Linked DNA regions of Arabidopsis thaliana. The protein of the gene in region 1 purifies or fractionates together with the protein of each later gene. This does not show direct contact. Each region holds a gene or a part of one and is shown on either strand. Other genes may lie near its edges.

Region 1 (6,554 bases):
GTTTCTTCAATATGTTGCTGAAGTAATCCTGCAAGTACTTCTCTAGAGTCACCATATCCTTCTGATCCACACCTAGTAGACTATTAGTCTCAGTCATCGGAGCAGAGAAGACCGTGTCACTCGAGAGAACCTAAACGTACCAGTGTCACACATATGTTAGAAGCATGATTTCAGCTGATCTGAAAAGCTACTATGAAACAAACTACAAAAGCATCATTGTTTGGTGATGAAGGCCAAATCTTACCTCTGAGAAGGCCAGTCTATCCGCGACATCATTTGTCCATTGAAAGAACCGAGTTAACTGACGCGTGACTCTCAATACAGAAACTGGAACGGTTGTGACATTTGCATCTTGCCCAGCAAGTCTCTCACATAGTGTTATCACCTGAATTGACAAAAGGGTAGTAAAAGGTTATGCTTTAGTAATATTTCTCTATTCCTTTCATTCAAAAGAGCGGTAACTATAGCCTTGCTTACTTCTTGTGTTGTCCATGCACGAGGGCCAGCGAAAGTCAGAAGTTTTCCATTGATCTTCTCATTACGTAAAGCTATAAGTGTCAGCCTAGCAATATCCTGTTATAGCATGAGGAACATGTTTAGATCATTTTATGTGTTTCATCCACATATTACACAGAGAAATGGAGTACATCTTCATTTGATTACTCACCTGTGTGTCCATGTAAGCAACACGCGTTGGTGCATCTGTTCCCCAAACCGATTTCTCCTCCAGAATTGGAACTGCATATTGACCAATAAGACCCTGCATAGCCATAGGCATAGTATACTCTGGATTAAACAACAATCAGCCATTACCACATTCAACATCATGTACTCACTTTCAGGGACAACTAGACGCATAAGTTCAGGGGAATGAGGCTTACTTGCATGAAACCACATAACCGAATGGTGATGTGGTTTAAACCAGATTCCTGAAGAAACTTCTCAGTGCAGTACTTAATCTCCATGAGAGGAACCTCAGGATGCTTATCGCAATTGTGGATTGAGTAAAAGACGTATTTCTGAATCCCCATTGCCTTTGCACATTGTATCAGAGCAACTTTTCCTTCCCAATCTACCTAAACCGAACACACATAACTTTCAATCACATTGGAAAACTGAATCCAACACTCAAACGTACAAGCCAAGGCATGAAACTGAGTATTAGACACACAAGCCAATCAAACTTTAATAAGTCTCACTAGGCTAAAGATTGAGTCTTTAACAAAAAGATATAATTTAGAAGCTTACCGTCTTGATAGGTTCTTCAGGACGTCCCGTGGCACAATCAATTACAGTGTGAATCCCGACCAAAGTCGCCGGAATTGTCTCCGGTTTACTAAGATCCGCCTAAGACCACACAAAACTCCGGTTTTAGTTCTCTTTTGGACAAATTTAAATACTTTGAGTAACTTTAAAGGAAGATGTGAATACGTACATTGACTACGGTGGCGCCCCAATCACGGAGGAAATCGGCGGGAGCTGGTCTTGGTCGGACCAAACACCTAACATCATACCCTTCATCTAAAGCTCTCCGGACGATTTGTCTTCCCAAAGTTCCAGTGGCTCCAACCACCAAGATGCTCGTGGGTCGGACTGGTGTCCCCGGAGCAAGATTAACCGCTGCAGCACTGCATGTAACCGGAACTACTATTGATCGTTCCCGGTTAAGGGATGAGGATGAGGAAGATGGGAAGAGCGGGATTGTATTTTCCGGTGTGAGAGAACGTCGCCAAGACAGACGCCCGGAGGAGGAGGATGAAGAGTTGTGGTGGATGAGATTGCCACGTGTAACTAGTTGAGCGGGGAGCCTGAGCGAAGCCATCAGTGTCGAAGAGAAGAGAGAGAGACAAGTGAGGGAGAGAGAGATAGAGAGACGACAGTTGATGTGCGTTTGGCCACGTCAGCTGGTGTTTTGACATTGGATTGGCTTGCATTTGCTGCCACGGAATAAATATTATTAAGAAAAAGGAAACTTTATATCGGTTTCTATAATAATACTTACGGGCCGGGCTTGGGCTCAAATTTTCTAATTCTGATCGGGTATAGTTTTAGCTGGATTTTCAAAATATTTGCAATGTTTGTTGAGAAGATATATTATACTAATAAACTATTTTCAGTTATGGGCTGCAATACAAAAGTTTCAAGCCTCATCCAAAACTCTACCAAGAGGCAAGAGGTGTCAAAGTTTAAAAGTCATTTTCGAACTTGCCGGGTACCAAATGTGACATCCCAAATCCGATGAAACAATTTCAAGTGATTTTAAAATTAGTCAATGTTAATTCACAAATTAAATTAAAGACTTGGAGTAAGAGCAACCCCAATGGTTGAGCCCTTAAAAGGGTTTTTTAAAATTTTAAATTATAAAAAATTAAAGTGTTTTTGTTGGACCATTAATTTTTTTTGGTCTAATGTTTAAGTGGGTCTTTTAAAAAAATATATTATTATTAAAATAAAAATTATTTATATTTTATTTTATAAAACTTAATAAATAATACAAATATTAAAATTTTAAACAAATATGATATATATATTAAAAATCATATGGACTAAAAAAGAGAGAAAAACGCGAAAAGAAAAATAAATAAATGATGTTGTCACAATGTTCAACCACACACACAATGACACGTTAGAGTTTCTTAACTACTCAAAAACCTCTTAAAATAAAGTTTTATATTTAAAAACATCCATCAAAAATTAACCAATGTGGATGCTCTTAAGAAACCACCATTCGAGGTGATCAAAGATACCATCAATTTTTCATTCATATTCTTGAAATTACGAATCCATAAAAGTTTGCATATTCCACGAACAAGTGTTTAAGAAACTTTGACATGACAAAAGGCGCCAACAAACGTAGCAACATGAATTATTTGGAACATGTTTTTTTTTCTTATCGAAATATTCCACGGCTAAAGAATATAATAAAACTCGAGGTACAAAACCAGATAACCGTTGTGCTTGGATCATACCCCATATTTTGGCAACACAAAATCTGTATCAGGAATTTGATGATTTATGCAGAGCGGGAACACGTAATTTGTCAAAGTCAGTCTAGTTTTGCAATGACCGCATCAACGACCTCTTGAGTCGTGCTTGTTCCACCAAGATCTTTCGTCCGGCACTTTCCTTCAGCGATGACTTTCTTCACTGCTGTTTCGAGCCGGTCAGCAAATGAAGGAAACTGAAGGTGTCTAAGCATCATCGCTGATGAGAGAAGCAATGCCACTGGGTTTGCTTTGTTTTCCAATACTATCTTGTCTTTCCCAACATTTCCTGCTGATGCACCTTGCTCGAATACCGCATGGTCAGCCCCAACATTTCCTGTTTTTGTATTTAATGTCGCAGATGTATAAATTTTAGAACTATTCTTTATCCACTAATGTATAGCTCGAGAGAATATCAATACAGGATGTTTTTTTACCTCCAGGCATGACTCCTGTGCCTCCAGCAATACCAGCAGCAGTGTTTGCAACTAAATTCCCATAGAGATTCGGCGTTACCTGCAAAACATTTCATAAATTGCTGTTATAAAAGGGGGGAAAAGCCAAAAGACGCTACTACATACAGTAATGAAAGGTTAATACTTAGCAACAGTGAAGTTACTGCTCTAACGAACAATAGTGTATGCAAAGTAGTAAGTATACATAGACAAGGTCACAGAAGTACAATTTAAAAGATTCCCTGAAAGCATGATATGCAAATGACGAGATTAAATAGTATGCAAATGGGGCGATTAACTATAGTATATGGCAACACAACATCAGTCTCATACCAATAAGATAATATGACTCTAAAACAGGCAATCTAGAGGGATACCAAACTAGGGAGAGATGACTGGTATCTTTTTCTCAAAGTAAAACATCGAAGACTTAAAGAACGTCATGAAAATTCATATGTATATAACTCTGAAACATACCATGACATCGAATTGCTCTGGTTTGGCTACAAGTTGCATACAGCAGTTATCAACAATGATTTCATTGTAGGTGATGCTGGGATACTTTTTCGCAACCTCGCGACAAGATTCCAAGAACAAACCATCCGCAAGTTTCATGATGTTAGCCTTATGCACCGCTGTAACTTTCTTCCTGTTGTTCAGGTAGGCATACTCAAAAGCATACTTTGCAATACGCTCCGAACAGAACTTCGTGATCACCTAAGCATAGAAATAGGATCAGAACAATCACACATAACATACAAAGACCACTTGCAAACGAAGATGATTCCACAAATACAGATTGAATCCAAAACGAGGAGCAGAAATCGGAATTCTCACCTTCAGACTCTCAACGACACCAGGAACAACCTCGTGCTCAAGCCCCGCGTACTCACCTTCAGTGTTCTCTCTGATGACAACGATGTCAACATTCTCATGGCGAGTAGGTAAACCAGGCAAATTAAAACAGTTGACCAGAGAAGCAAAGAGGTCAAGCTCTTTCCTAAGCTGGACGTTAAGAGAACTAACACCACCACCAACAGGAGTCTTAAGCCCACCTTTCAAACAAACCTTATTCTTCCTTATCGACTCCATCACTTCCGGCGGCACACGGCTCATTTCTCCGTGAACATCGTACTTCTCGAAGAAGATCGGAGCGTGCATCGCTTCCATCACCTGTTCCACGGCGTTCGTCACCAGAGGACCGATTCCATCTCCGGGGATCAGCGTCACTGCGCGTGGTGCTCCGTCACCGGGTCTGGGCATGTAAGTCACGGATCGGGTTTGAATACCTGATCCATTCGCGTTTCTAGCTAGATTCTTGAGGAGAGTTAGCGATCTGCGAGACATTTTTGTCTTCAATTTTGGGTTGAATCTGAAAAGATTTGATCGAAAGAGAAGAAGAAGATTCGCCCTTTGGCTTTTGGGAGCTGGAGGCGGACGAAAAGCGTTTATTGTTAAAATTTAGTTATTTACACAATTCGCCCCAAAATCTTCATCTCATTAAGATATTTCCATAAAACAATAGATAATCACCGATTAGACCACTTTGTTTCAGAATCGTCAATTAAGATATTTATACAAATCCCCCCAATCATTTAACTTCATCAACATTTACTCAGTAATTAATTTAGTTTGACATTTGCTTATTTTTCACTTCAGATATTTACAAAATTGCCGCAAAATCATTGATCATGCAGAGTACTACATTATTTGCAAAATCATAACTTGCACCCTCGAATTTCATCAAGGCTTTGGTGAAAGAAGTCTTAGAAACACGGAGATTGGCAATGTTAAGAGATTCGAAGCATAGTCACGTGAATCAACTCCTTCGTCATCCTGATTTTTAGTACCAAATGGTACAATCAGGTACACTTGGTCTGATTCTCTTGACATAGGTTTTTTGTTTTCCATGTTGTTTTCTCCTGTCTCTGAAGTTTAGGTGGCAATGATAGGTTCAGGATCAATATCTTCCTTTGTGTCACTCACTGAATCAGAAAGAAACAAAAACAAACCAAAACGAGAACCTTTTGTCTGCAGGCTTACTTGTTTCTTTAACAAATACTGATTTGAGGATTTAACAGAGATACTCTGGTTAGGAACTTGGAAGATCACTCCACTAGGTGGTTCTCTCTCTTGAACACATATTCCTGCTTAAAAACCAAGAGAATCTCTATAAATATCATGTGTCCTCACCATCCAAGTATACACTTTCTTCTCTACTTTTTCTGCCAAAAATAGCTTCTGTGTTTATATGACTATCATTGCCTATATAAGTAAAACGTCTAGCCTTTTCTTACTTTCAAACTGGCATAATGTTTTTTCTTGTTTCTTTCTGAATACTAACTCCTTATTGACTGTAATGTTTGTACACAGTAAGCTTTGATGCCCCAAAAAGCACCCTTAAGAATTTCATGCATAGTTAAGTAAGAAAATAAATACAAGTGACGATGTAGAAGATATATCAATTTAACATACTTGCAGAGCTTAGTAGAATCCAGAAGACAAATGATGTACAGACAATAATAATACATACATATAAGCATGTTTCTCTGGTACGCATCGCCTTATTATACAAAAAATCTGCTAAGCCGATGCAGGAAACCAGTCCACTACTGCTGCTTGCAAAATGGGGGCACTGAAAATATGTTTACAAACGATGCCCATTGCTATAAAATGGTGAGTAATATTTTTCTAACACACTAGTAAATTAGTCGAATCTCCTGCTCTTTTCTTTTCTTTTCTTGCAGGTAACAACCTTATACCTGATAGCTTATAACGAGGGACCAAGACCGATGCTACCAAAAGAACCTCCCAGCTTGACTTGAGAAGCTTCATGAACACTTATCTTGATCGTGCGGCTCTGTGATGATCTATAAATGTCGATACATTCCTCGAGATCCGCTTCACATGTCAGAAGAACCCATTCCTTGTCATCATCCAGGTACTTAAGATCAAAGGGTGCAATATTATCTATGTTAAAACGCCTAGCAATCTCATGCTGCAACTCTCTGAAGCCCCAAGTAGGAAGCAAAGTAAACCGTACTTTGGCTTCACCAAATGTGGCTTTCACTTTTGAGGCCCCTCCAGCTTTCAACTTCCTGCTACTATTCTCCGG
Region 2 (8,435 bases), on another chromosome or scaffold:
ATAAACTTGCACTAATATGTTACCTGATCTCCTATTTTGCTTGCCTCTACGAGTGGATGGTGCAGCATGTCCGGCGAGTTCGTGCTCGGGTGTATGCATGCCATCCCCACGAGAAGAGAAAGATGAATGTCCAGAGTTCCGACCATCGAACATCTTTCTAAAACTAAAAGATCTTGGCCAGCTTAGTTTACGTCCTAATGTCCGCACCATTCCCAATTTACTCCTCTCAATTTATATCTCTCCACACACTTTTTTATATTTCTCTCTTCTTTTTTCTTGTCTCAGATCGTATTATATAAAAGAAAACAAAGCAAATGAAATCCACAAAATGGAAGAGAAGAAAGCAAAAGAGACGTACAGATCAAGCAACTAGTCCTTTAGCTCTCCCTTGTCTCTGTTCTTTCACCACCGAATGAAACAAAACTACTTTATGTTCTGTACTTTTTTCTTTCCAGTTGTTTTATGTTTTTGTTTTTTAGTTGGTGCAAAATGAATGAAACAGAGAAATGTTGAAGTAGTTTTCTAGGGCTGGAGAGACAACGTGCGGTCCATGTTTTCAAAAAACAAACAAAAGATAAATAGTGGAAGGGCGGTTAAAGATACTCCGACTTTTCCTTAATTTATTTTATCTTTCATTTGTTTAGAATTTTACCTCACGCTGCTCAGGTTTTGATTCACTGGAACAATTTCGTGTAAGAAAATTGTTCGTTATTTGAACTAATCCACATTTCGTTAAATGAGCTTGTAAGAACATTTTCTAAATAAAATATGTCTACAAAAATGTGACTGGCTCAACCGATTAGAAAAATGATGTTTTAGAGTTACCCGCCGGACCGAGTTAGAATCCTATGTGCTATAAACTTGGAGAGGGATAATTTATGTTTTGTGGATCGTTATTGTTTAAGCCTGATCTCGAATTAAGTAAGACTATGGATCAAATATAGCTGGAATTTACAAACTTAATAACTTAAAAAGAGAGACAATCGAATTTTAAAATCAGATTTTGACTAATTCGTTAGTGCAACAGTAGCATGGAGGCATGTAACACGGCGACTCTTTACCAAGTCTAAACATTTCTGTTTATCCTACTAATTTAAAAGATTTGATTTCAATATCTTATAATACTGCTTTAATCGTTTAATCACGTCGTGTAATTTATCACTTTGAAAAGTGGTGTTTATGACCATTTTCTCATCCACTCACTGATGTATAAATATTGCATTGACATTTTTTTTTATCAAGCGGCTTAAACAAATGAGTCTACCTATAAATGGACACATTGAAACAAGTTTTCATTAAAGAAACAAAAGAAAACTAATTAAATACAAAAAACCATATAACCTCATTCCGTTTTACATTTTCTTATCTTTCATGTTCACTATATGTCCCTTACAATTCCAAACGATCGATTGCTTCATTTGAAAATTATGTTTATGTGATATTTTAAGAGATGGACCAATTAGAGAGTATTCCGACAAGTATTTTTTTTTCTAATACAAATCATACTTCTTCTTAGGTGTGCCAAACTTCCCAAAACTTATTTTTTTCCAGCGAGAACCAAACTATAAGGATCTCTCAGCAAATAAAATAACAGGACATTTGAAAATTCTGCAAAATAACAATTGTTGGTGGCAAATTAAAGTAACCAATATTTTCTTAGAAACGGTAGATCTCAATGTCACAATCCTCACTTTGGTTTTGGTTCAACCATCTTTAGTCAAAAGACATGAGGAAACATATGGTACCATCAGAAAAAAACCATAGTATATAAGCCAACAAAAACGGTGTTCTTTTTTTTTGTCCCATTTTATTTGTAGAAACAGCAAAAAAATGTATGGTCGCTAGTTTAGCCGAGGCGGGTCACTGCAGCATGCATAGCATCGGCAAGGTGAGGCACTGTCTTCGAACTTAGACCTGCCATGCTTATTCTCCTGCAATACAACAAAGTAACCCTTTTTCAATTTGAAGCTCAGAAAACTTACAAATCTGGTATTTTCTAATATCCTTTGCTTCATGCAACTATAATTTCACTAGCAAGAATATGATGTCATATCTCACTTTCTCAAAATATCAAAGCAACTATCTTGGTTCACATGCCTAAGAAGAACATAATGAAACCTGTGGATCTAGTTCTATATATATCTGGTTATTACTGCTAATACTCTTACAACTAAGAGAGTTTGGCGAAAGTATTTTAGGACCTCTTAGAAATACTTCATGTCATATATACTTATGGTTTTAGGCATAGCAGAAACCAAACTCACTCATATTCCTAAAATTATCGAAAAGAAAATATAAGTTGACTCACCCATCAGAGGTCATGTAAATGTGGAACTCTTTGGTCATGAATTCAACTTGCTCCTTGTTCAATCCAGTAAATGTAAACATCCCAATCTGTTTGATAATATGACTCCAGTCACCAGGTGTACCTGCAATCCAGACAACGTGTCAAGAACAAAAAACTGCAGAGTAATGATTCTGCAAACATGGAAAAGAAGATAAACAGAGTGAAAAATAAGAGAGGAAAGGAATTAATAATAAACCTCTAGCTTGTATAGCTTCAAATAACTGTTGGCGCATGCTCTTTATACGGTCAGCCATTTCTTTCAGCTCGATGGTCCAGTTGTTGTACATATCACTGCCAATATATACAAAGAAATTTTAGAAACTTAGAGCAGAACCTAATTCCATAGATATTCATTATAAGCTTGATAAAGCAAAGGAAAATGTTTGTGATATATGCATGATTCCATAGAAAAAGAAACTTGGCATAACCATTTCAACACAGCATAAACTATCAAATTACTGCGTATGGAAGATCAGTAGGGATCTCTCTTTCCACTTGCCTATTAATTTTTAATGTCAGCTTTCAATGTATACATATATCTTGTATGTAATAATCTAAAAATGTAATTTTACTATACTAACTCCGGTTTAAAGGTTCCTTCTCCAACATAATATATTCAAAGTAATTGTAAACTAAAGCATGATAATCATGTACCTGCTTTTTAGAATGGTGGCAACAATTGATGCTCCATGAATAGGGGGGCTCGAATACATGGGCCGCACAACAAGCTTCACCTGGCTCTCAACCTTACTAGCCACATCTGCTGACTTGCAGACCTTCACATTATATCACACAGATTAGATGCAATTTTTGAATACTGTATTCTTGTACTATCCATTAGATGAACTTTTTGACTAACCATAATGTCAAATGAATAGAAGCGAATAAGAAATTGAGAAGTTTGGTTCCTTACAATGCTAAGGGCACCAACACGCTCCCCATAAAGTCCCATATTTTTGGCGTAACTTTGAGCTATCAAGCATTCACCGCCATCAGCAACAAATGTACGGACAGATTGTGCATCTGTGTCAAGGCTACCACTAGCAAAACCCTGCAAAAGTGTTAGGAAAAATGAGTCAGGCTGCTATTTTTCTACATTAGATAAGATTCAAGCATACACTATAACGGGGTTCATTTGTTTGTAAACCACCATTGAATAAAGCAACAAAGCAAGACTTCCTTTATGAGTGCTACCTGATATGCACTATCAAAAAAGGGTAATAAGCTTTTAGATCTCATCAGCTGTCGAATCTGTTCCCACTGTTCAGAGGTTGGGTCAACTCCAGTGGGATTGTGTGCACATGCATGAAGTAAGACAATAGCTCCAGATGGTGCAGCGCCAAGATCCTCGAGCAAGCCTGTTTTTTTGGCATCAAAGGTCAATGTTTGTATCAAATGCCATTTTACTTTGACAGAGTGCAATCTTGAGATTTCTTTCCTTACTCAAATTTCAAACATAGAATTGTCAAAATACGATCATTAAACTTACAGAAATAATTTCATTGTGGTTATATCAAGGAAAACACAGGAAAAGTAGAGTAGATGGATAATCAAGCAATAACCATGACTAAATTAATGTCAGTGCAACCACATGAAGATGAAAACAAAAATTAATGGAAAGTTAAGAATCAACCTTTGAAGTCAAGACCACGGGTTGCAGGATCATAGTAGCGGAAATACTCCACAGACAAGCCTGCCAAGTTGAAAACTTTGGGATGGTTCCCCCAAGTTGGTTTTGGAATGTAAATGACACTCTGGAAGGATGAGAACCATAGTAAGCAACACTTGTTTGATTACATAATTCAATGACTGTCAAATATAATAAAAAACTAAATAGAGAGAAGTTTACTTGGTGGTAGTGTGTTTTGAGAAACTCAGCCCCAACTCTCAACGAACCAGTACCAGACAAGCACTGGACTGTAGTAACTCTACTTTCTGTAATCGCAGGACTGCCAACAAAACAAGAATATTTATAAAATATTAAACTTTATCAACTAAAGGGGATATTATGTCACAAGAGAAACAAAGCAAAACACAAATGAAAAGATAACAAATAAACAGTATAGATGATTACCTGTCAGCACCTAAGATGAGCTTGGCGCTTAACTTGTTAAAATCGGAAATACCAACAATGGGAATGTATTCCTTGACCCGAGACCTTAGAGAAGTAGAGAAAAGAATTTAGGCATTAGCAAAAAACAAGAATAAGAAGAGACAACTACACGAATTAGTGACAATGTTCTTCAACTCACGGATCGTTCACTAGCTGTTGCTCTGCCTTACGCACCACATCAAGAACAAGAGGCTTCCCTTCCTTTGAAAAAAAGAGAAACAAACTAATCAAAACCTGAGCTTTCAAAAACTGGCTAGTAGAAACAATTGATACCATAAAGTTGCTTAACAGTTTAAGCAGAAATCGAAAAATTACCTCAGTTCGGTAGGCACCGACACCCAAATTGATCTTAACAGGACTAGGATCATTGTTGTAAGCAACAGTTACCTGTTTTCAACAAATCATTAACTCTCAAAAACGTTACTAAAAACTAATAATCAAATCATTGATCACACAGACTAATAATATTCACTGTGCCAGTAGATCATCGAGAGTCATATGTCTTCTAATTCCCAGTAGCCAAATAAGAATCATATCCAAATCGAGTAAAACACAGAGAAATCAAATCCCAACTCTCTCCGATCAGACGGAAAAAAAGTAGAGACGCACTAAAATCAGATATAACCGTCATGATTTCGGATAACCGAGTGAGATCGAAGCAAAGACGGAATAAAAAATCAACTAAAACGCGAAAAAAGTAAGAGGAGATCAAACAGAGAAGCGACATACACCGAGAATAGGATCTTCGGGAGCACGAGCAACGTTAGAGAAGACGGAATCCATGACGAGACAAGGGATTGAAATTGCAGACAATGGATCTTGAAGAAGCAGAGGAGGAATAAGTTAAAAGAGAAGTCGTCTTTTTAATCTTGTTCACAAAGAGAGAGAGGTTTTGAGAATCAACTTTTAGCTGTGGGCGCCTATATTGCGATTTGGCAACTGTGGGCGATGCTTGAACTTGCCCAACAAGTCGAGAAATTTTATTTACATTTTTTTTTTATACGAGAAATATTCCAATTCCTTTTTTCTTTGTCTGACTTCTTTTTTTTTTTTTGTCGTTTTTCTTTGTCTGAATTCTAATTTCCATTTATTAAGTAATTTTTTTTTCTTCATAAAAACATTATCATCAAACCAAAAACAACTAGAGTTACCTATTCAATAGATTTCTTTGACATCAGAGCCATGTTTGCTTTACAACAGAGAGACTTGGGACACTGTAAAAGGTATTTGACACTGTTTGTACATGATTCTGTGCTGCGTCATACAATTTTTGTATTATCTATAAACTGGTATAACTCTGCACCTATCTGGGTAGCCCAGTCAATTGTCGAACCAAAGAAGAGCTCCCAAAAGCAGAGATCCAGTGCAAGTACAGATGAAAATATTAGCAATGCCAATGTTTGGTACCGGTTTAGTGGCCAACGCAAAGCCTCTGCCATTTTCCTCAGAATCGGATATGAACTAGTCTCCAAGTCCGTTGGATTTCTGATGGACCAAGCTGTTACCCATCTTACCTCTGAAGGAACAAGATCAAACTCTTCTCTCAGTCGTCTTCCCAGGTCGGGCATGTGGCCTCCGCCATATAGAATTCCAATTCTCTTGTGTCCTTGCTCTATTGCTCTTCTTAAAGCTTCCGTAGCTGCTCGGTTTCTCTCACCAATGATGACAGATTTTTCCTCTATATCTGATGTCTCTAGTGTTAGCCTTCACAACAACAACAAAAAATAATAGAATAGTTAACTTCCTACTAGCCTTACATATATTTGCATGTTCTAAGAAAATAAGAAAAAAACTACTCTGCCTTGCCCTATCTTTGAAGCACATACACAATTCAAATGGTAAGAAATGTGTCAAGTAGAGCACATATCCCAAGTTTAGATCAGCAAAAGAAAAACAACTTCAGAATCATGAACAAGACCGGACTTACTCGGATGTCAATCTCTTAGCAAGGAAAACCTTCATAGCAGCTCCAAAGTCAAGCCGTGAAAGTGCTTCTAATTCTGGATAGTCTGAGGTCTGATCTCCAAAGTCAGCACAAAAAGCCCCGATTAGGAAAAGACCCACAAGAGGCATAGGAAAAACCCGTGAAACCCATAGAAGCTTTGACCTCCAAGTATCACGACCTTCAGTTACCAAAGCTGGCTGTATCATTGCTTTTGTTGATCTAATAGTCATGTCCCTGGCAAATGAGAAGAAGCTTTCTCCTTTCTCCTTCTGCAACAAATATGATACAGGTTTAATCATCATTCAACTGATAGTTCTCACTCCCAAATAATACAACCATGATACAGGCCAATGCGGAAACCAAAGAATATTACTCAAAAATGACAGAGAACAAGCAACAACTAAAGACAGGCACTTCTGTTCTTTGGAAACAAACCTGAAGCAACTGGAATGTCTCGAAATCGAGATCAGCATGGTACCAATTCTCAGTATCGTAATCTAGACAATCTAGCTGAAAATCAAGTGTTAGTACTCTTGCCATCTGCCGCTGAATGAACCCAAGAATACTGAAACCTCTTGAACGAGAACTCTTGAGCCTCTTAGATGCAATAGGGTTTCTCCTGTTTTCCAAGGTCTCTTTACTAGCCACCATCTCATACAAGATAGAATCATATGGTTCAAGCTCCTTCTGAAGAGTTGTGAAGTACCTACACACCCAAACCCAATCCACATATATCACCACACAAGAAACTAATTAAAACTTAATCAAACTCACTAGTGATATAAACAAATTACGAGCAATAGAAGAAAGACTCACTCTTTATCTGCAATATGAATAGTTGAGACCAAATCCACCTGCAATATAGAGATGATGAAATCGATAAAAATGTTACCTTTATCGATTTAAATGGAAACCCAGCAAGTAACAGAGATGGTGATGTAACCTGAAGAAAAGGGTTGAGAAGAATCCAAGGGAAACGTTTCTTGTAACTCACGATTGCAGTCTGCAACTCGCTGGTACCATTTCCGGGGTCGGGACGGCGTTTGAACCGCATGTAATCAGCAATTGAATTGGATTCGAGAAAAAGGGCGGCGTCGGAAGCATCATCAGAAGGCTGATTCAGTGAGCACGAGACGAACACATTTGGACAACGGGAATTTGACTGGAACCGGTATTGAGATATGCGGAGAAGTTTCGAAGATGAGTAAAACGAAGAAGAAGAAGATCTATCGGTTGTGGAGCTGTATGAGGAACCAAATGGAGGAAGGACGGCGAATGAGCTCACCGCCATGGTTCCTCCCTCGTTTTTGTTTTACGGGATAGTTGAGATTGAGCAGAAGAAGAACTAGTGTGTGATGTGGAGAAGATATTTCGCCATTTTTCAACCAGAGGAAGTTTACACGTTTCTACTTCGGCCACAAAAAAAAATTCGGTGAATTACTTAGTAAACCGAACCAAATAACTGAATATGATTTAACCAAACCAGTTCTAAACCAAGAGAGTAAAATATGGTCTATTCCTTGTTCATAAATCTATATGGGACAACAGAAACCATAAATCATTGGGAACTTTTAAATTAGCCATATGTTTTTCATTTTGGGTTTTTGCTAAATGCCAATTTTGTTTGATAAAATTGGCCATAAAGAAAAAAATGAAGTTGAGACTGAAGCACGAAAAAAAATCAGCTCCATAACCATTCTAAGCTCAACTTCATCCCTAGAAAGGAACTACTGTTAGTTATTAAACTTAAGAATATAAACATGTTAAGAGAATATAAGAAGGAACAGAACTATTACCAATTGAAATCAGTCGTTAACAAGAGAGCTTGGCCAAAGCTGATACCGAGTTCACGAAACATGTTGGGATCTTTTAATTAGCCATTTGTTTTTTTCATTTTGAGTTTGCTAAAAGCTATTTTTTTGTTAAAATTCGGCCACAAAGAAAAAAATTGAAGTTGAGATATCACGAGTAAACCAAGTCTAAATGCAAACCGTGAGTTGTTTTGAAGCTGATTTAGTTCAAAAACAATT
Region 3 (8,475 bases), on another chromosome or scaffold:
TAGGGCTATCTCCGGGAGCAGTGATGGTAACTCCGGTAATGTTAAAATCCTCAACGGAGAATAAGTTGAAATGCCCCATTTTGCTATTGATGGACCTTAGACCGTTGATCTTCGATGATTTAACAAAAGCAAACCCAATGTTCATAGCTAGTGTACGACAATTAGTGTTTTTGTTACAATCATTGAGAGGCCAAGAATAAGATCCTTGACCGTCAAGTAATCCACCGCCAGTAACAGTGAGATTATCGACGTACTTGAAAAGTATCCATTCTTCTTGGTTGATGGCGTAAGGATTACGAGGAGCCAATAAAGTTCCTCTGATAAAAAAAGTTATAGAGCTTTTGCAAGGACCAGAGAATGTTACTTGACGGAGATAGAATATTCCGGAAGGAATATAGACCGTTGATCTTCCGTAACTCCATTGGCAAGCTTCGTTCCACGCCTTTGTAAACGCAAAAGCGTTATCTCTTTGGCTATCTGCGCGAGCACCATAGTTTCTGACGTCAAAGATTTTTGGTTGGCCGGGATATTCCTTCGTGGAAGCGGCGAGGAAGAAGAAGAGAGAAGGCACACACAAAATCAGAAGAACCCTAGACGCCATTCTCTCTTCTTTGGTTTGGTAACCCTTTTTTGGTTGAAGGAAAATAAAGCGTTTAGGCTTCTTATTTATAGAGTTACAAGATAAGAATATATGTATTTATTTAACAAATATGGGAAACGCAATCTTTACTATCACCCATATGGAAAATACTTAGGAATAATATTATGAAAGGATCCTTTTAAGATGGAATAAGATGATTTTATGTACATATATACTACTAATAAATTATGAAATAAATGTAGGATTCATTCTTTTTCTACTTCTTTTTGCATATCCGCTTGAATCTATATAAATCTGTATAAGTTGGAATGTTTTGACTGTATATTGTGTCACATTACATTATACATTACAGTTCCACGTGGTATTTTTTATGATTTATTAAATTTGTATGTGTTAAATAAATTTATACTTCATTCATATAGATAAGAAATGTATACTTTACAGTTTACATGTGTATTTGTTATTAAAAAAAGATAATATAAAAGAATAAGATATGGGAATGTTTACCCTAAAATCATATATAAGAGATTCAATTATCTTTTTATCTCATTTAATTTTGAGTCAGGAAAAAATATATATACAGAGAAGAAACAAAATTATTAAAAATGTAAAATTTATTGGTTAACATTTTGTCTTTACAAAAAACATAGATATGTTAATATAACGAATATAGTAAATGATAGAATAAAGATATTTAGTATGGTTAAGTAAGAAAATTAACATTTTCAATAATTTCGTCTCTTCTTTGCATAGGATTTGTTTGCCAACTCAAAGTATATTAGATAAAAAGATAAGATTGAAAACTAAAGTTGATAAGATATTATATTGTTTCACAAAAATTAGACATTGGATAGATGTTTAAGATTAAATAATCTTGTTAGAAATAAAACTGAAGTCTATGATGTTGCATGTAAGAGCTAATACAGTAAAATAAAATTATAAATTAATAACATGGGGAATAAAATATTTTATTGATTTATATAAGTGTTAATTTTTAGATGTAGTAAAAATATTGAAAATGACTTTTTCACAAAAATTAAAACAAATTCAAAGAAAAACAAATAACATTTTTATCCAATTACGTTATATATTATATTCGTCCAACTTTGAACCGGAAAAGTTTATTAATTTACAATGATTATTAAATTGACAAGTATTAATATATAGATGTTTCACTCTAATAGGTTAAATGGACAACTATATGCGAAAATATTAGGGCGATATTACAATAATCACAATGTAAAGATAGACAAGCACAATGTAAAGCTGATCACGTACAGTTTTGTTTCTTCCTCTTCAATGTTAATCTCTCCATTCAGTTAGAGTTAATTTCTAGTCTGATACATAACAAAACTACAAAGTTTCTCGAGTTTTTTTGTTATTTGATAACTCTCTACACGATCTAATTTCAATATTACATGTCGGAAAACTTCCGGAAAGTACCACACAAATGTTTGTAAGATTGAGTAAAATTGAGTAAAGAGAGCTTTAATCTCCCATATTTGCAAGTCGATATAAATTTGGTATCACGGCGTGTAAGAGATCTTGACATGCTAACCTTACGCAGATGTGCATTGTTGCAGTGCCATATTGTCATTATTGGTAATATATATGCCTAAGTAAAGTTCATATTGATAAAAATTTTATTCAAACACTATTGCATCTGCTTGTCAATCGCATAATAACATTATTAATTGAAAATGTAGTTTTCACTATTATACAATATCCGTTCTTATTTCGTTTAAACCGGCCGAGCCCATAGTATTGCAAACTATCACACCATATGGGCTTTAACTTTACGTTGGTAAAACGTAAAAAGAAAATAGCGATCAAGTCTCAAGAAGGGTACTTTTAGAATTAATAGCAACTTTAAGGCGTAAATAGAAGTAATACAAATAGTTGGGGTTATTATGTAAATATGAAGAAGATTAAGATCCAGAAGATGGAAATGAAAAACACGGCACGCATTTCAAAGCCCAAAACGGGCGGGGGCAAACGTCACGCCTAATCTTATCTTCTTCTATCACACTCTCAGCTTATCTATGACTATGACTCTCATCATCAATTATTTCACACTATTAACAATCACCAAACCAGTGTGAACATTTTAATTCATAATTAGAGTAAGGTCATTAGGCTAAAAACTGTTTGATTTGGATTTTACAACTATAGGATAAGAACTTGTATCGCTGTCACAGATGATATTTTTTGGTCGTTTAAGCAAAGAAATATTACGAAAAAGAGATATTTTTTATTCTTACTTATTTTGGGATTATCATTTACCCGGAACGGGCAAAGCGGTGAGTCATCTTACCTTATAAATGATCACAAACCCGAGGACTGTGAGTTTTCGTGTAGAACAAATCCTTCTCTGAGAAAAAACAACAGATCCGAATTTTATCTTTAATCAGCCGGAAAAAATGGAGAAAGCGATCGAGAGACAACGCGTTCTTCTTGAGCATCTCCGACCTTCTTCTTCTTCTTCGCACAATTACGAGGCTTCTCTATCTGTAAGCATTCTATCACCACACACTCTCTCTCTCTCGATCTATCGCGATCTTTTGGTTGTCTTCTCTTGTGTTTGCAGTCTGGGGATTATGGATCGTTGTTGATCTGGATTCATTATATGGAATTTTCGATTTTGATTTTGATGCTGAATTATAATTTGATTCGAGGCGTGCCTGTGAGCTGAAAATTTTAAGTTTCAGCTCGATTGAGATCAAATTCAAGACTTGGATTTTGTTTTTGTATTTCGTTCACTGGATTGAGATAGATATCTTTTTTTTTTTTGTTGTTGTTTGATTTTTGTTCGATTGGGTTGAATTATCCGTGCTCTGCATGTACTGATGATTTCTTAAAAGTCAAAGCTTGATTTCAATTACTACGTGTGATCTCTTTAACGTGTTCTTTCCAAATTCCCAGGCTTCTGCTTGCTTGGCTGGGGACAGTGCTGCATATCAGAGGACCTCTCTCTATGGAGATGATGTTGTCATTGTCGCGTAAGTCCCATCTCTTATGCTTTTACTCTTTTGGTATTTGGTTTTTCAGCAACGTATGAAGATTTCTCGTCTCTTTCTGATAGACTTACACTTATTGATCCATTGCAGGGCACATAGGACTCCACTATGCAAGTCCAAACGTGGCAATTTCAAGGATACATATCCCGATGATTTGCTCGCACCTGTTTTGAGGGTCTGTCGCTATCTTTTCTATTCTGTTGTTGGTTTTTATTTCCTTTCTACGTCTATTTATAGATAGTTCTTCCTTGACATAGGCATTGATAGAGAAGACGAATCTAAACCCAAGTGAAGTAGGTGACATTGTTGTGGGTACTGTTTTGGCACCTGGATCTCAGAGAGCCAGTGAATGCAGGATGGCTGCGTTCTATGCTGGTTTCCCTGGTATGTTTCTTCTATGTACAGTACAATACAATGGTGAAAAGTCTTTGTTTTTATTTCCTGTATGCTCATCCTGTTATGTTCATTTGCAGAAACCGTGGCTGTCAGAACTGTGAATAGACAGTGCTCATCTGGGCTTCAGGCTGTTGCTGATGTAGCCGCTGCCATTAAAGCGGGATTTTATGACATTGGTTAGTGAATAACCGTCTTTAACTACGCCACATTTTTTCATAGAGAACCGAGCTGACGATATGATGGATGCAGGTATCGGGGCTGGTTTGGAGTCCATGACTACCAATCCAATGGCATGGGAAGGGTCAGTCAACCCAGCGGTACTGATTCTCTCTTATCTGGAGTCTTACTTGGCTCTGTTATTTTAATACGTACTATAATACGGACTATGTTATTTCAGGTGAAGAAGTTTGCACAAGCGCAGAATTGTCTTCTTCCTATGGGTGTTACGTCAGAAAATGTAGCACAACGCTTTGGTGTCTCAAGGCAGGAGCAAGATCAAGCTGCTGTAAGGGAACTGAACTTTTTCAGTATGGTTGTATTTTAAATAACCTATAACTTTGATCGCTATGCTAAGCTATGGAGTCATATTGCTAGGTTGACTCGCACAGAAAGGCAGCTGCTGCTACTGCTGCTGGTAAATTCAAGGATGAGATCATTCCTGTTAAGACCAAGGTATTTTTCAGATCCTTCATACAATAACTGTAACATTTAAGACTTCTCTTGGTGGATTAGTTACTGAACTTCATTCATGTTCTAGTATTAGTCAATAACGTGTGTTTTAAATTTCAGCTTGTTGACCCGAAGACTGGTGATGAGAAACCCATTACAGTTTCTGTTGATGATGGTATCCGACCAACCACAACTCTTGCTTCTCTTGGGAAGCTGAAGCCAGTGTTTAAGAAGGATGGCACCACTACTGCTGGTACTTTTCCCGAATCAATTGTTTCATTATGGAAACCACAGTTCTTATTATCACAATTTTAAATCCATTGCTTCATTTGTTCTGTCGCAAACAGGAAATTCCAGCCAAGTAAGTGATGGTGCAGGAGCGGTTCTCCTAATGAAGAGAAGTGTTGCAATGCAAAAAGGACTTCCCGTTCTTGGTGTATTCAGGTGGGTAATAATTACTTACAAAGCTACGACTGTGGAAGTCTGAAAACCGAAAAAACTGCAGAGGCTTGTGATTTCCATTTACACAGATATGCTAGTATACGTGGAAAATACATTGTTCTTTCTGTATTTGGCTTTTTCTAAGTAGCACACTATTGGACATATTGCAGGACATTTGCTGCAGTTGGTGTTGACCCTGCAATCATGGGTATCGGTCCAGCAGTTGCCATTCCTGCTGCAGTTAAGGCGGCTGGTTTAGAACTTGATGACATCGACTTGTTTGAGATCAATGAGGTATATAGCAAACAATTTCATGATCTTCTTATCACATATCTCTTCCCGCACATTCTGATGATGACCATCTGTTTGAATCCTTGTGTGTTCAGGCATTTGCATCTCAGTTTGTTTATTGCCGTAACAAATTGGGACTTGACCCAGAGAAAATCAATGTCAACGGAGGTGCAATGGCCATAGGCCATCCTTTGGGCGCTACAGGTATATCTGTTAAGAACAGGACTAAAACTGTTAAGCTTGTTCCAATTTACCAAACCATAGAGACTTGAATTAATGAGAATCTCTCAACTCTCAACCAAACCTTAAGAAATCCACAGCCGAGATATATCTTTATAAACTCTGTCCTCACTAATGGTTCTTTAACCAACTTACAAGAGCTCTATCTTGCCGCAGTCCGTCCTTTTCAAAGCATATCAATGTCTACATTGTGTCTATATAATTATAAAACGCTCATGAACAGTTGCTAATACTTGTTAAAACTCTCACAGGAGCGCGTTGTGTTGCTACATTGTTGCACGAGATGAAACGCCGTGGTAAAGACTGCCGTTTTGGAGTAGTGTCAATGTGCATTGGTATGCTTCTCACTCGAATAATTCATTGTGAATTTGGTGTCTGAAATATGTGTCTGAGGGATGGTTTTACTGATTTGGTAAACTCTGGCAGGGACGGGGATGGGTGCAGCAGCTGTGTTTGAGAGAGGAGATGGAGTTGATGAGCTTCGCAACGCAAGGAAAGTTGAAGCGCAAGGTCTTTTGTCCAAGGACGCTCGCTAGAGAGGACCATGCACCAAAACCGTTTTTCACCTCACCTCTCTCTTTTCTGGTCTTCTTGTCACTTTCTTCAGATATTATTATAGTTTCGAATAAAGCACACAACCAATGTTTGCCTGAGTCTTGTGTTGTTCTTGACCAGGTCATGTGTTTAGTATTTTTTTTAAGTGAAGGGGGATAATCTTTAAATCTTTTATATGTAAGAATATTGTTCTTCTCGAATTTCATCAGTTGTTGCTTCTAGAAATTTTAGATTTTTTGGGTGGCAGCCATTTCTATATTTCGATGGATAAGTCAAACGTTCATAAAGTCAAGGGTTCTGCCTTTTGTTTGTGTTTCATGATTTTACCTTGAATTTCATTAACTAAAACAGTGTTAATAGTAACAGTTGGGGTGGTGGCGCAGTTGGCTAGCGCGTAGGTCTCATAGCTACTGAGTGATCCTGAGGTCGAGAGTTCGAGCCTCTCTCACCCCATAATTTTATTTTCTCATAGCTATTTATATAACGTTCCTTCTAGTATTTTTTTTTCTTTTCGTTATAGTATCTTGTCTTTGATACCGGAGACGTTATAACGGCAGTATAAGACGTTATAATCATGTTCCAATGCATCCCCTCAGTTTTGTGTTAAAAACGAGCCATCAATGTTATCATATATGGAAATCATTATTGAGGCTTTGACCAATTAATTATGCGAATTGACCGACTTTGATCACTATACAGAGCAAAACAAATCCACTGAATCATTTATTTGTGTAGGTTCATCTTTTTTGGGCACCGTATTCATTTCTTATTCCATGAATTTGACGGAGTAATTTTGATTTTCTTTTTCGAGTAAGAATCTGGTCAAATATTCGATGAACCTCTACAAAAAAAATTAACCTCTATAAAAGTGTAGATTAACCAAGTGTTTCATCACAAACCATTTCAACGTAAACGAAACAACAACTACTACTCTCAACTTTACACTCTCTTGATAAGTCTCGATGATGAATAACATGAAGCTCTTGATCATCGCTGTGATGATCATCTCGGCAGCTTTGCTTCCAGCGCTTGTGGTCGGATCTCGTCCGGTAAAATGTGACAATTGCATGGACGGTGGAGAAAAAGAAGAGATCATGAAGATGAGTTCAGGTGTAGATGTGAGCCATAGGATACTTCAAGCTAAGAGATTTATAGATTACGAAGCATTGAAGAAAAACTTACCAGCCAAACCAGATGGTAAACCGGATAAACCGGATAACAAATACCGACGTGGTTGCAGTGCCGCTACAGGATGTTACCGCTTTACAAATTAAACATAAACCACCTCTCTCTTCTTCTTCTTCTTCCTTTCGTTGGTGTGTTTTATTTTATTTTTAATTAGTATTTCCAATCACATTTCTTATTATTATATTTTATTGCAATTTGTAAGCCTTTGAGGCATTATCTCCTAGAGAGTTAGAATAAACTTCGTTTAGAAATTGTCATCCTTTTCTCACCAAATGATTGACGAGTGAAAATTGATCTCATCGTAAAGTATTTTTGCGGTCAAGTTCAAACAAATTGATCCCTTCTCTCGCACCATATTCTTGTTTTATTTTATTTAAACGATCGATATATTTCCAAACCATTCCTCCAAAACTATCACACATTCACACCTACCAATTTCAACTTTAAATACAAAATATAGTCTTGTTGTAAATATAAGATACACTTTAGAAGTGTACACGTGAAATTCAGGTATATATATTACAATAGTAAGCAACCTCTAAGTACAATTAAATCAAGAAAAAAATAGATTTGAATTAATAGGAGCGGACATGGGATGCATGTAGAATTGTAGATTATCATTTATTATGGTGACTAGACCATTGAACTTTCCTATAACTTTGAAAATATTCTTATTTAGTCATTTAATTTAGATTACACCAAAACCCCAAATATGCCAAATTTTCTACAAATACCCCAAAAAAGACAATTTATAAAATTATTATCCAACCACATGTAATAATCTTTGATGACTTTTAAGTTTTAAATTTTAATAGTAGATTTAGATAATATAGGAACCAATTATTCAAAGGTCAAAGTTCAAACTAGCTTATCCAAATTCATTTTCGCTGATAAAAATACGTTGAAACTATCAAATAACAAAATACCATTACACCAACATCACCAACTTTTTAAAACCCCACAAGTTGATTATTTGAATTTGCTTTTAGGTCCTCAAGTTCAAGATTGTTTCAATTTGCACAATCTGCATAAATCTTTCTGAAATATAACTTTTTTGCCCTCTAAAACTCAAGGGTT
Region 4 (6,922 bases), on another chromosome or scaffold:
GAAGCTAATCTTTCTTGAAAATTTAATGTACATCTCATGTAGATAGAACAACTTATTAACCTAAAGGACTTTTCTTCTGTCACAAACAATAAAAATCGTTAGAACTGAATTTCCAATGCTCAATTAAGAACAAGCAGCTAAATGTATAACCGTTAACAAAGCCTGTTTCACATGGTTGATCAGAAAAATGATTAAAAGAACTTTAAGTAAGCCTTAAGATTCGGGATTTAGGAGTTAAAAAGCAATGTAATCATCACAGCTGTTTTAAATCGTCAAAGTAGTAGAAACAAAAGTCAAAGAGAGAGCTTCAACTTCCAGCTGCCCATTAATTGCAGCGAGTTGGGGAAAGGCTTATTGAGTTATTTCTATCCACTTACCGTAGAGACAAGTACCCAATACTTTGTCTGTTTCTTCTTCCTGTGGCTTCTGGGTCTTTGTCAACATCAAAGCTCTTTACTTTTTCAACTTACTTTATCGTGCGTCTGTACGGACCACAAAAGGCTCTCTCTTTATTTCTCTGTGAGATTTTTTTAGGATCTGAGAGAGCCAAAGATCATGGAGGAAAGCCAAGAACTTGCCTTGACCCAGTTGAGAAAATCGGTCGAGAAACTCTCTTCTTCTACTGAGGTAATCTAATTCGACGCTTTAGTTTCATTACAGTTTACAAAGCTTGCATCTTTTGGCCGTTTCATGAGTTTCACTGACAATGTCTCGTTAGAAAATGAGAAATATCTGTCATTTGATTTTGATGGGTTTTATATGGGCTACACTGTTAAAACTCTGTCTCCATTCTCGTCATAGTGGTTTGTCTGATTAGGTTTGAGCCTCCCATCAGAAACCCTAACAGTAGAGACAGTTTAGTAAAAGTGAATCCATAATCAGAAAATCTCATCAATGGTTTTTGTTGTTGTTGTTTCCTCTGAAAAGGGATATGACAAACCAACATTGATGAGGTTCCTGGTGGCAAGATCAATGGACCCAGTCAAGGCAGCAAAGATGTTTGTAGATTGGCAAAAATGGAGAGCCTCCATGGTTCCTCCAACTGGATTCATCCCTGAGTCAGAAGTGCAGGATGAATTGGAATTCAGAAAGGTCTGTCTTCAGGGTCCGACCAAATCCGGACACCCATTGGTGCTTGTCATAACCTCTAAGCATTTTGCTTCTAAGGATCCAGCTAACTTCAAGAGTAATCACCTCTCACTTGCTTCTGACCTTTACTTTCGTTGGAAATAATCTGTCCCTTGACTTTCAGTGACTTTTGTATTCATAGAACTGATCAGCTTCTTTCCTGGTTCTCTAATTATTGAGTAGTTTCATTTGACTTCAAATGAATGAAGTTTTTTGAGTCCATCTATGTGTTTTCCTTGAGTTGATTCTTGCGATAATTATCTATGAACTAATCTTTTATCTGTTTGATGTTGCAGAGTTTGTTGTTTATGCGCTAGACAAAACAATCGCAAGGTGTTTACACATTATTGAAACCAAAACACTTCAATAATCTTCCGGTTAGTTGGTTGTGAGACAAGCTTTTTGGTTTTTATGTTTCAGTGGCAACAATGGCAAAGAAGTTGGAGGTGAGAAATTAGTAGCCGTTATTGATCTGGCAAACATTACATACAAGAACCTTGATGCTCGTGGATTGATCACTGGCTTTCAATTCTTACAAGTAAGCATCTCCCTTCTTCCTGAAACAATATAGTTATCACACAAAAAGAAGTCCTGTCTATTAAATTTGGAAAATGTTTCTCTAGTCTTACTACCCGGAACGCCTTGCAAAATGCTACATTTTGCATATGCCCGGATTCTTCGTGACCGTTTGGAAATTCGTCTGCCGTTTTCTAGAGAAAGCAACTCAGGAAAAGGTTTGATCTTTAATCTCCTCTTGATGTATCTATCTCTAATGGTTCTTGAGCAACGAATCACATAAATTATGATTTTGCTGTTGCATAGATTGTGATAGTTACGGATGGAGAAGAACAGAGAAAATTCGAGGAGGAGATCGGAGCAGATGCTTTACCGGAAGAGTACGGTGGCCGAGCTAAGCTCACAGCAATCCAAGATGTTCTTCTTCCTCAGGCTGCTCCAGTAACTCTAACAAACAATAATGTTTAGCTCTTTATTTTTGGAAGCATTAACCTGAATATTTGTAATGGTCAGAACATAACTAGTGGTACATCTCTAAATTTCCAAAAGAAGCAATGAAAACATGAGAAAGTAATGCGAATATATTCAATCTGGTGACTGAGTGCTCGCTCTTGCTTATCTTTTCTTATTCACATCATAAGTAAGCTGTAAAGCAGGATTGATCAACAGACCAGACTAACTTCTAGAAACTTAATGTCCTCTTGTTGTACGTGTAAGATTCCAAAGTTAGCTATAGATGTCTTTGAGCTAAAAACCAGAATCACGAGCTCTTAAATATGATCCCTAAGCCTTGTTATATGACAAAAGACTTTTCAACAACTTAATATTTCCAAAAGAAGAAATGATGAAACACATGAGAAAGTTGTGTGAATATACTCAATCTGGTGAATGAGCAGTTTCAAACATCATGCTGTTTCTGTATCTTAAATTAAACAATCTTGCTGTTTTGAATTTTGAAGATGTTGGTCAATTCACTAACACACTTTAAAGTCCCAAGCTTTTTTCTATCAGCCGCCTCCAAAATCTCTCTATCTCTCTGTCTCTCACTTCTTCTTCCTCACGGCGGCGACAATGGCGACGTTCACTCATCAAACCCCACAAACCCATTTCCTCTCTCGCCTTCCTCTCAGAGCTAAACCTAGACACTTCTCCGCAAGAGTCAAAATGTCTCTCCAAGAATCTGCGCCTTCACTCGCCGTCGTTGGCGTTACCGGAGCCGTCGGACAAGAATTCCTCTCCGTCTTATCCGATCGAGACTTCCCTTATAGCTCCATCAAGATGCTTGCATCGAAACGCTCCGCAGGGAAGCGTGTTGCCTTCGATGGCCATGAATACACGGTGGAGGAGCTCACGGCGGATAGCTTCAACGGTGTAGACATAGCTTTGTTCAGTGCTGGTGGATCCATAAGCAAAGAGTTTGGTCCTCTGGCGGCGGAGAAAGGAACCATTGTTGTTGATAATAGCTCGGCTTTTAGAATGGTTGATGGAGTTCCGCTTGTGATTCCTGAAGTGAATCCAGAAGCAATGAAAGGGATCAAAGTTGGAATGGGCAAAGGGGCTTTGATTGCAAACCCTAATTGCTCCACCATTATCTGTTTGATGGCTGTTACGCCTCTTCATCATCACGCAAAGGTTCGATTTTTATTCTGAAATCTGCTTAGTCCAAAATTTTGAAGGGTAGTTAGAGAATCAATGGAAGCTTTAGACTTTAGTGCTCTGAATAATGTTTGATTGGCTATAATAGGTGAAGAGAATGGTGGTTAGTACATATCAAGCAGCTAGTGGTGCTGGTGCTGCAGCTATGGAAGAGCTTGTTCAGCAGACTCGTGAGGTTTTGTTTCTATTTCAGCCTTCTTTGATTGAATTGTTTAATGATTGTGCTGAGTTGTGATTCTGCTTCTTCGTCTTCTTTGCATTGGTGTGTTTTCTTAGGTTTTAGAGGGTAAACCTCCGACTTGTAACATCTTCGGGCAGCAGGTGAGTGCTTAATTTGCTTATAGTTTGTATTTCGAATGTGCTGATTATGAAATCCCTTTTTGAGTAATGTGATGGTTTTGTATGTTGTTCTGCAGTATGCATTTAACTTGTTTTCACATAATGCTCCTATTCTTGACAACGGTTACAACGAAGAGGAAATGAAACTTGTGAAGGAGACAAGGAAGATCTGGGTGAGTGGTTACTTAAGTGCTATTTTGTGTTCATTTCACTTTGATCTTTTGTTCAAAAATTTTAGATATCTCACACCAATTTCTTGCCCTTCACAGAATGACACAGAAGTAAAAGTAACAGCAACGTGTATACGTGTTCCAGTTATGCGTGCTCATGCAGAGAGTGTGAATCTTCAGTTTGAGAATCCTCTTGATGAGGTAATAACACACGTCGAACCCGATTTCTACTGATTCTGTGTTGTTGTGTTACCTTATGATTTCACTCACTGATATGACAATTTGAATCATAATTTGAAGTTTTAAACCACATTCTATGGTTTTAATTTAACTCAAGCCATTGAAAAATGTGGAGCAGCATGTAATCAGCATAAGTAGGCTTGGATAGTTCTTGATGCACTTGCAGAGTTAAACCCTGAAGTTGTTCTTTGGACTTGCTCTGGTAGCATGTATTGTGATTCTTGTTGCGCAATTAAAAGAATCTTATGATCAAGTTCTTATTCAGGTTATAACGGTTTTTCTTACTGTATCATAACAGAACACAGCAAGGGAGATACTGAAGAAAGCACCTGGAGTTTATATAATAGATGACCGTGCTTCAAATACTTTCCCTACTCCACTCGATGTCTCTAACAAAGACGATGTAGCGGTTGGTAGGATAAGGCGAGACGTGTCTCAAGATGGCAATTTCGGGTAAAGTCTCACTCTTTTCTACTGAATTTGAAGCAAATGTCTTTGCGATATGCCTAAAAGGATATAACTTTGTGAATTCAGGCTGGACATATTCGTTTGTGGAGACCAAATACGCAAAGGAGCTGCTCTGAATGCTGTTCAGATCGCTGAGATGCTTCTCTGAATTTGAACCCGCTCTCACTTTGCTTCTTATGAAATTCTTGACAAAGAGATCACTGTATTATTAGATTTGAGCCAAGAATTTGTCTCATTTTTTGTTCTGTGAGTTTTCTATTTTGACCAATTTTGTTACTTTGATTCATAAAGTTGTCTCTTAAATCTGAACTCATCATGCACACGCTTGAACCTCTTGGCAATTTTCCGGTTCGAATCTGTACCGACTTGGTTGATCTCACCGAAGACAACCGGGCTCCACAATTATTTGACACACTGAAGACTGAACCAGTGGGGGCCCACTTTATTGATAGTTATAGCAAATATTTACTTGTTTAGTGGATATTATCAAATCCTAAAATCACTCCTTCGTTACTAAGACTAGGGAGGAGACCCGCGTTGTTTTTGGTTTTGTTTTTGGTTTTGTTAGTATGCACTAACCACTTCGATTTTTTTTACTGATCTTTGATTAAAAAGGGAATATCTTTGTTATTTGCTAATCTTATCTTTTGATTTCTACATTTTTGTAATCTATGTATAGTTTTACATTTTTTTTTCATGTTGTTACCGGTTATATGCTAGAATTTATAGGATAATAGACCAAACTTACTATCTTGTAAGAATATTTTTTAGAGTTATATATATCTAAGCAATGCATTTGTTACATTGGTCTTGTTTTTATATATTTTATTTTAAATTAAAAATACAATGGAAATCTCTCTCTCTCTCGCATTAAGCGGTTGCTGCAGAGGATAGCGAAGAACAGAGACTAACGACGAAGTTATTTTACACATCGTTGCCATTGTTAATTTTGGCCCAATATGAACCCGCCCATTTGTTTTTTCTCTTTGTGTCTCTGTTAAAATCTTAGAAACTACTCTTTGGTTTGGGGAAGATTTCACTTTTCAACGTCTCTTCGCGAATTAGCCAAAAAGAGTTGGATTATAACAATATTAACATTGAAAGTACGATATGCTTAGATAATTAATTAAAAGTTTGATTTTATTGTAAATATAAATTTCCTTATAACAGCAAGGAATGACACACATTAAAGCAAAAGAAATAAGAGTAATAACTTTTACTTTGTTTTGAGTCTTTGTGATAGTTCACTGCCACAAACATTATAGGGAATTTTTTAAAAACAGTTTCCAACTCTCTAGTTGTTTTGTTTAAGTTATACCATAAAAATAAACTTAAACATTTGTTTGTAGAAAAAACATTTCTCACATGTGTTGTCCAAATTTCTTGGATGGCACACGTCGGGGGGTTTCATGTTGCGAAGTGATATCATGTAGCATCTTTTTCTCGCCACTCTAATCCCATTTAGTGAAGTTTTGATTTGTTTCCAACACGTTTCAGCCATGGTGGTGTCTTTAGCCCATTCAAGTTGGCTCATATAGGTTTTTCCCTCTTCAGTCCTTCCTCTACATAATAATAGCATGACATACATGTAGATTGCTTCTTTCTGGCCTCCGTTAGCTGCTATGCCAATATGGTGGAGACCAACGTCACAATGATCAAGGTTAAAGTACCATATTATACCTTTTATGTAGTGAGCATCCGGGTTGTTGTTGGCAAGACATTTCTTCATAATAAGATGGTGTTTGCGGCATGATAACGGTTTCTTCACCAACGGAGCAAGATTAAGGGTTTTGAGCACGCGTTCATCGTTTGCTGATGCACCTAGTATAGGAGATGATGATTTTATAGTAATTTAAAGGAAGATCTATAGGAGGTTTTTGCTTTTCTCCAGTTACAATTTCGATTTGAGATATTAAAAGTATGAATTTAATTGCAAGTAGTAGAATTTTGTAGGAATTAAGCCATGTATTTAAGTACCTTTTAGTGAATAACTGTTGATGTTTGAGCTTCTGGGGAAGAAAAATACGGAAAGCTCCATGGGGCATGTTGGGGGATGGATTGCACCCCTCATTTTAGCTCGGCCCAAATCAAGAATAAACTAATCAACATCAAGCCCAAAAAGCCCATAAAAGTTGGTCCATGATCCTATCACCAGCTTAGTTTTTCTATAAATAGAGAGGCATCTCAAGGAAAAAAGGACGAAGAAATCCATATTAAAACGTCTTCAAGCTCCTCAGCTCGTTCTCTAGCTCCTCTGCTCGTCCTCAAGCTTATCAGCTCGCCCTCAAGCTCCTCAGCTCGTCCTCAAGCTCCTCTGCTCGTCCTCAAGCTCCTTTGCTCGTCCTCAAGCTCCTCAGCTCGTCCTCAAGCTCCTCAGCTCGTCCTCAAGCATGACCGAGTAAATT

Evidence for each region.
Region 2: the proteins of IDH1 (region 1) and ASP2 purify together in Arabidopsis thaliana (affinity purification with mass spectrometry, with the first as the bait; one large-scale study listed by BioGRID). This does not show direct contact.
Region 3: the proteins of IDH1 (region 1) and PKT3 purify together in Arabidopsis thaliana (affinity purification with mass spectrometry, with the first as the bait; one large-scale study listed by BioGRID). This does not show direct contact.
Region 4: the proteins of IDH1 (region 1) and AT1G14810 purify together in Arabidopsis thaliana (affinity purification with mass spectrometry, with the first as the bait; one large-scale study listed by BioGRID). This does not show direct contact.

The regions. Positions count from the first base shown.
Region 1 is NC_003075.7:16,771,448-16,778,001, forward strand, and holds IDH1 (isocitrate dehydrogenase 1), read right to left. Parts: upstream 4,925-6,554; 5' UTR 4,787-4,924; coding exon 4,277-4,786; intron 4,157-4,276; coding exon 3,917-4,156; intron 3,501-3,916; coding exon 3,422-3,500; intron 3,322-3,421; coding exon 3,047-3,321; 3' UTR 2,695-3,046; downstream 1-2,694. Other genes in the region: HCF244 (NAD(P)-binding Rossmann-fold superfamily protein), read right to left, coding at 1-130, 245-385, 478-573, 668-760, 882-1,076, 1,249-1,347, 1,436-1,822; AT4G35270 (Plant regulator RWP-RK family protein), read right to left, coding at 6,210-6,554. UniProt on the Arabidopsis thaliana protein: Performs an essential role in the oxidative function of the citric acid cycle.
Region 2 is NC_003076.8:6,595,009-6,603,443, reverse strand, and holds ASP2 (aspartate aminotransferase 2), read right to left. Parts: upstream 5,474-8,435; 5' UTR 5,244-5,473; coding exon 5,190-5,243; intron 4,848-5,189; coding exon 4,776-4,847; intron 4,662-4,775; coding exon 4,600-4,661; intron 4,506-4,599; coding exon 4,422-4,505; intron 4,297-4,421; coding exon 4,197-4,296; intron 4,102-4,196; coding exon 3,981-4,101; intron 3,706-3,980; coding exon 3,542-3,705; intron 3,399-3,541; coding exon 3,261-3,398; intron 3,124-3,260; coding exon 3,002-3,123; intron 2,639-3,001; coding exon 2,544-2,638; intron 2,430-2,543; coding exon 2,309-2,429; intron 1,932-2,308; coding exon 1,847-1,931; 3' UTR 1,473-1,846; downstream 1-1,472. Other genes in the region: ROPGEF10 (ROP uanine nucleotide exchange factor 10), read right to left, coding at 24-210; AT5G19540 (thermosome subunit gamma), read right to left, coding at 5,720-6,164, 6,388-6,674, 6,841-7,111, 7,222-7,259, 7,349-7,696.
Region 3 is NC_003071.7:14,045,530-14,054,004, reverse strand, and holds PKT3 (peroxisomal 3-ketoacyl-CoA thiolase 3), read left to right. Parts: upstream 1-2,604; 5' UTR 2,605-3,021; coding exon 3,022-3,111; intron 3,112-3,523; coding exon 3,524-3,600; intron 3,601-3,708; coding exon 3,709-3,793; intron 3,794-3,875; coding exon 3,876-4,002; intron 4,003-4,091; coding exon 4,092-4,190; intron 4,191-4,263; coding exon 4,264-4,331; intron 4,332-4,411; coding exon 4,412-4,519; intron 4,520-4,608; coding exon 4,609-4,686; intron 4,687-4,803; coding exon 4,804-4,936; intron 4,937-5,030; coding exon 5,031-5,127; intron 5,128-5,294; coding exon 5,295-5,418; intron 5,419-5,510; coding exon 5,511-5,619; intron 5,620-5,906; coding exon 5,907-5,990; intron 5,991-6,081; coding exon 6,082-6,191; 3' UTR 6,192-6,527; downstream 6,528-8,475. Other genes in the region: AT2G33160 (glycoside hydrolase family 28 protein / polygalacturonase (pectinase) family protein), read right to left, coding at 1-601; RALFL18 (ralf-like 18), read left to right, coding at 7,173-7,484. UniProt on the Arabidopsis thaliana protein: Involved in long chain fatty-acid beta-oxidation prior to gluconeogenesis during germination and subsequent seedling growth. Confers sensitivity to 2,4-dichlorophenoxybutiric acid (2,4-DB).
Region 4 is NC_003070.9:5,100,427-5,107,348, reverse strand, and holds AT1G14810 (semialdehyde dehydrogenase family protein), read left to right. Parts: upstream 1-2,498; 5' UTR 2,499-2,715; coding exon 2,716-3,276; intron 3,277-3,388; coding exon 3,389-3,475; intron 3,476-3,576; coding exon 3,577-3,621; intron 3,622-3,716; coding exon 3,717-3,812; intron 3,813-3,908; coding exon 3,909-4,010; intron 4,011-4,045; exon of another isoform or gene 4,046-4,167; coding exon of another isoform or gene 4,168-4,197; exon of another isoform or gene 4,198-4,347; coding exon 4,348-4,502; intron 4,503-4,583; coding exon 4,584-4,665; 3' UTR 4,666-4,790; coding exon of another isoform or gene 4,791-4,911; 3' UTR 4,912-4,925; downstream 4,926-6,922. Other genes in the region: AT1G14820 (Sec14p-like phosphatidylinositol transfer family protein), read left to right, coding at 556-627, 928-1,186, 1,425-1,461, 1,549-1,666, 1,752-1,862, 1,951-2,112; AT1G14800 (Nucleic acid-binding, OB-fold-like protein), read right to left, coding at 4,791-4,911, 6,104-6,329, 6,495-6,615, 6,738-6,820.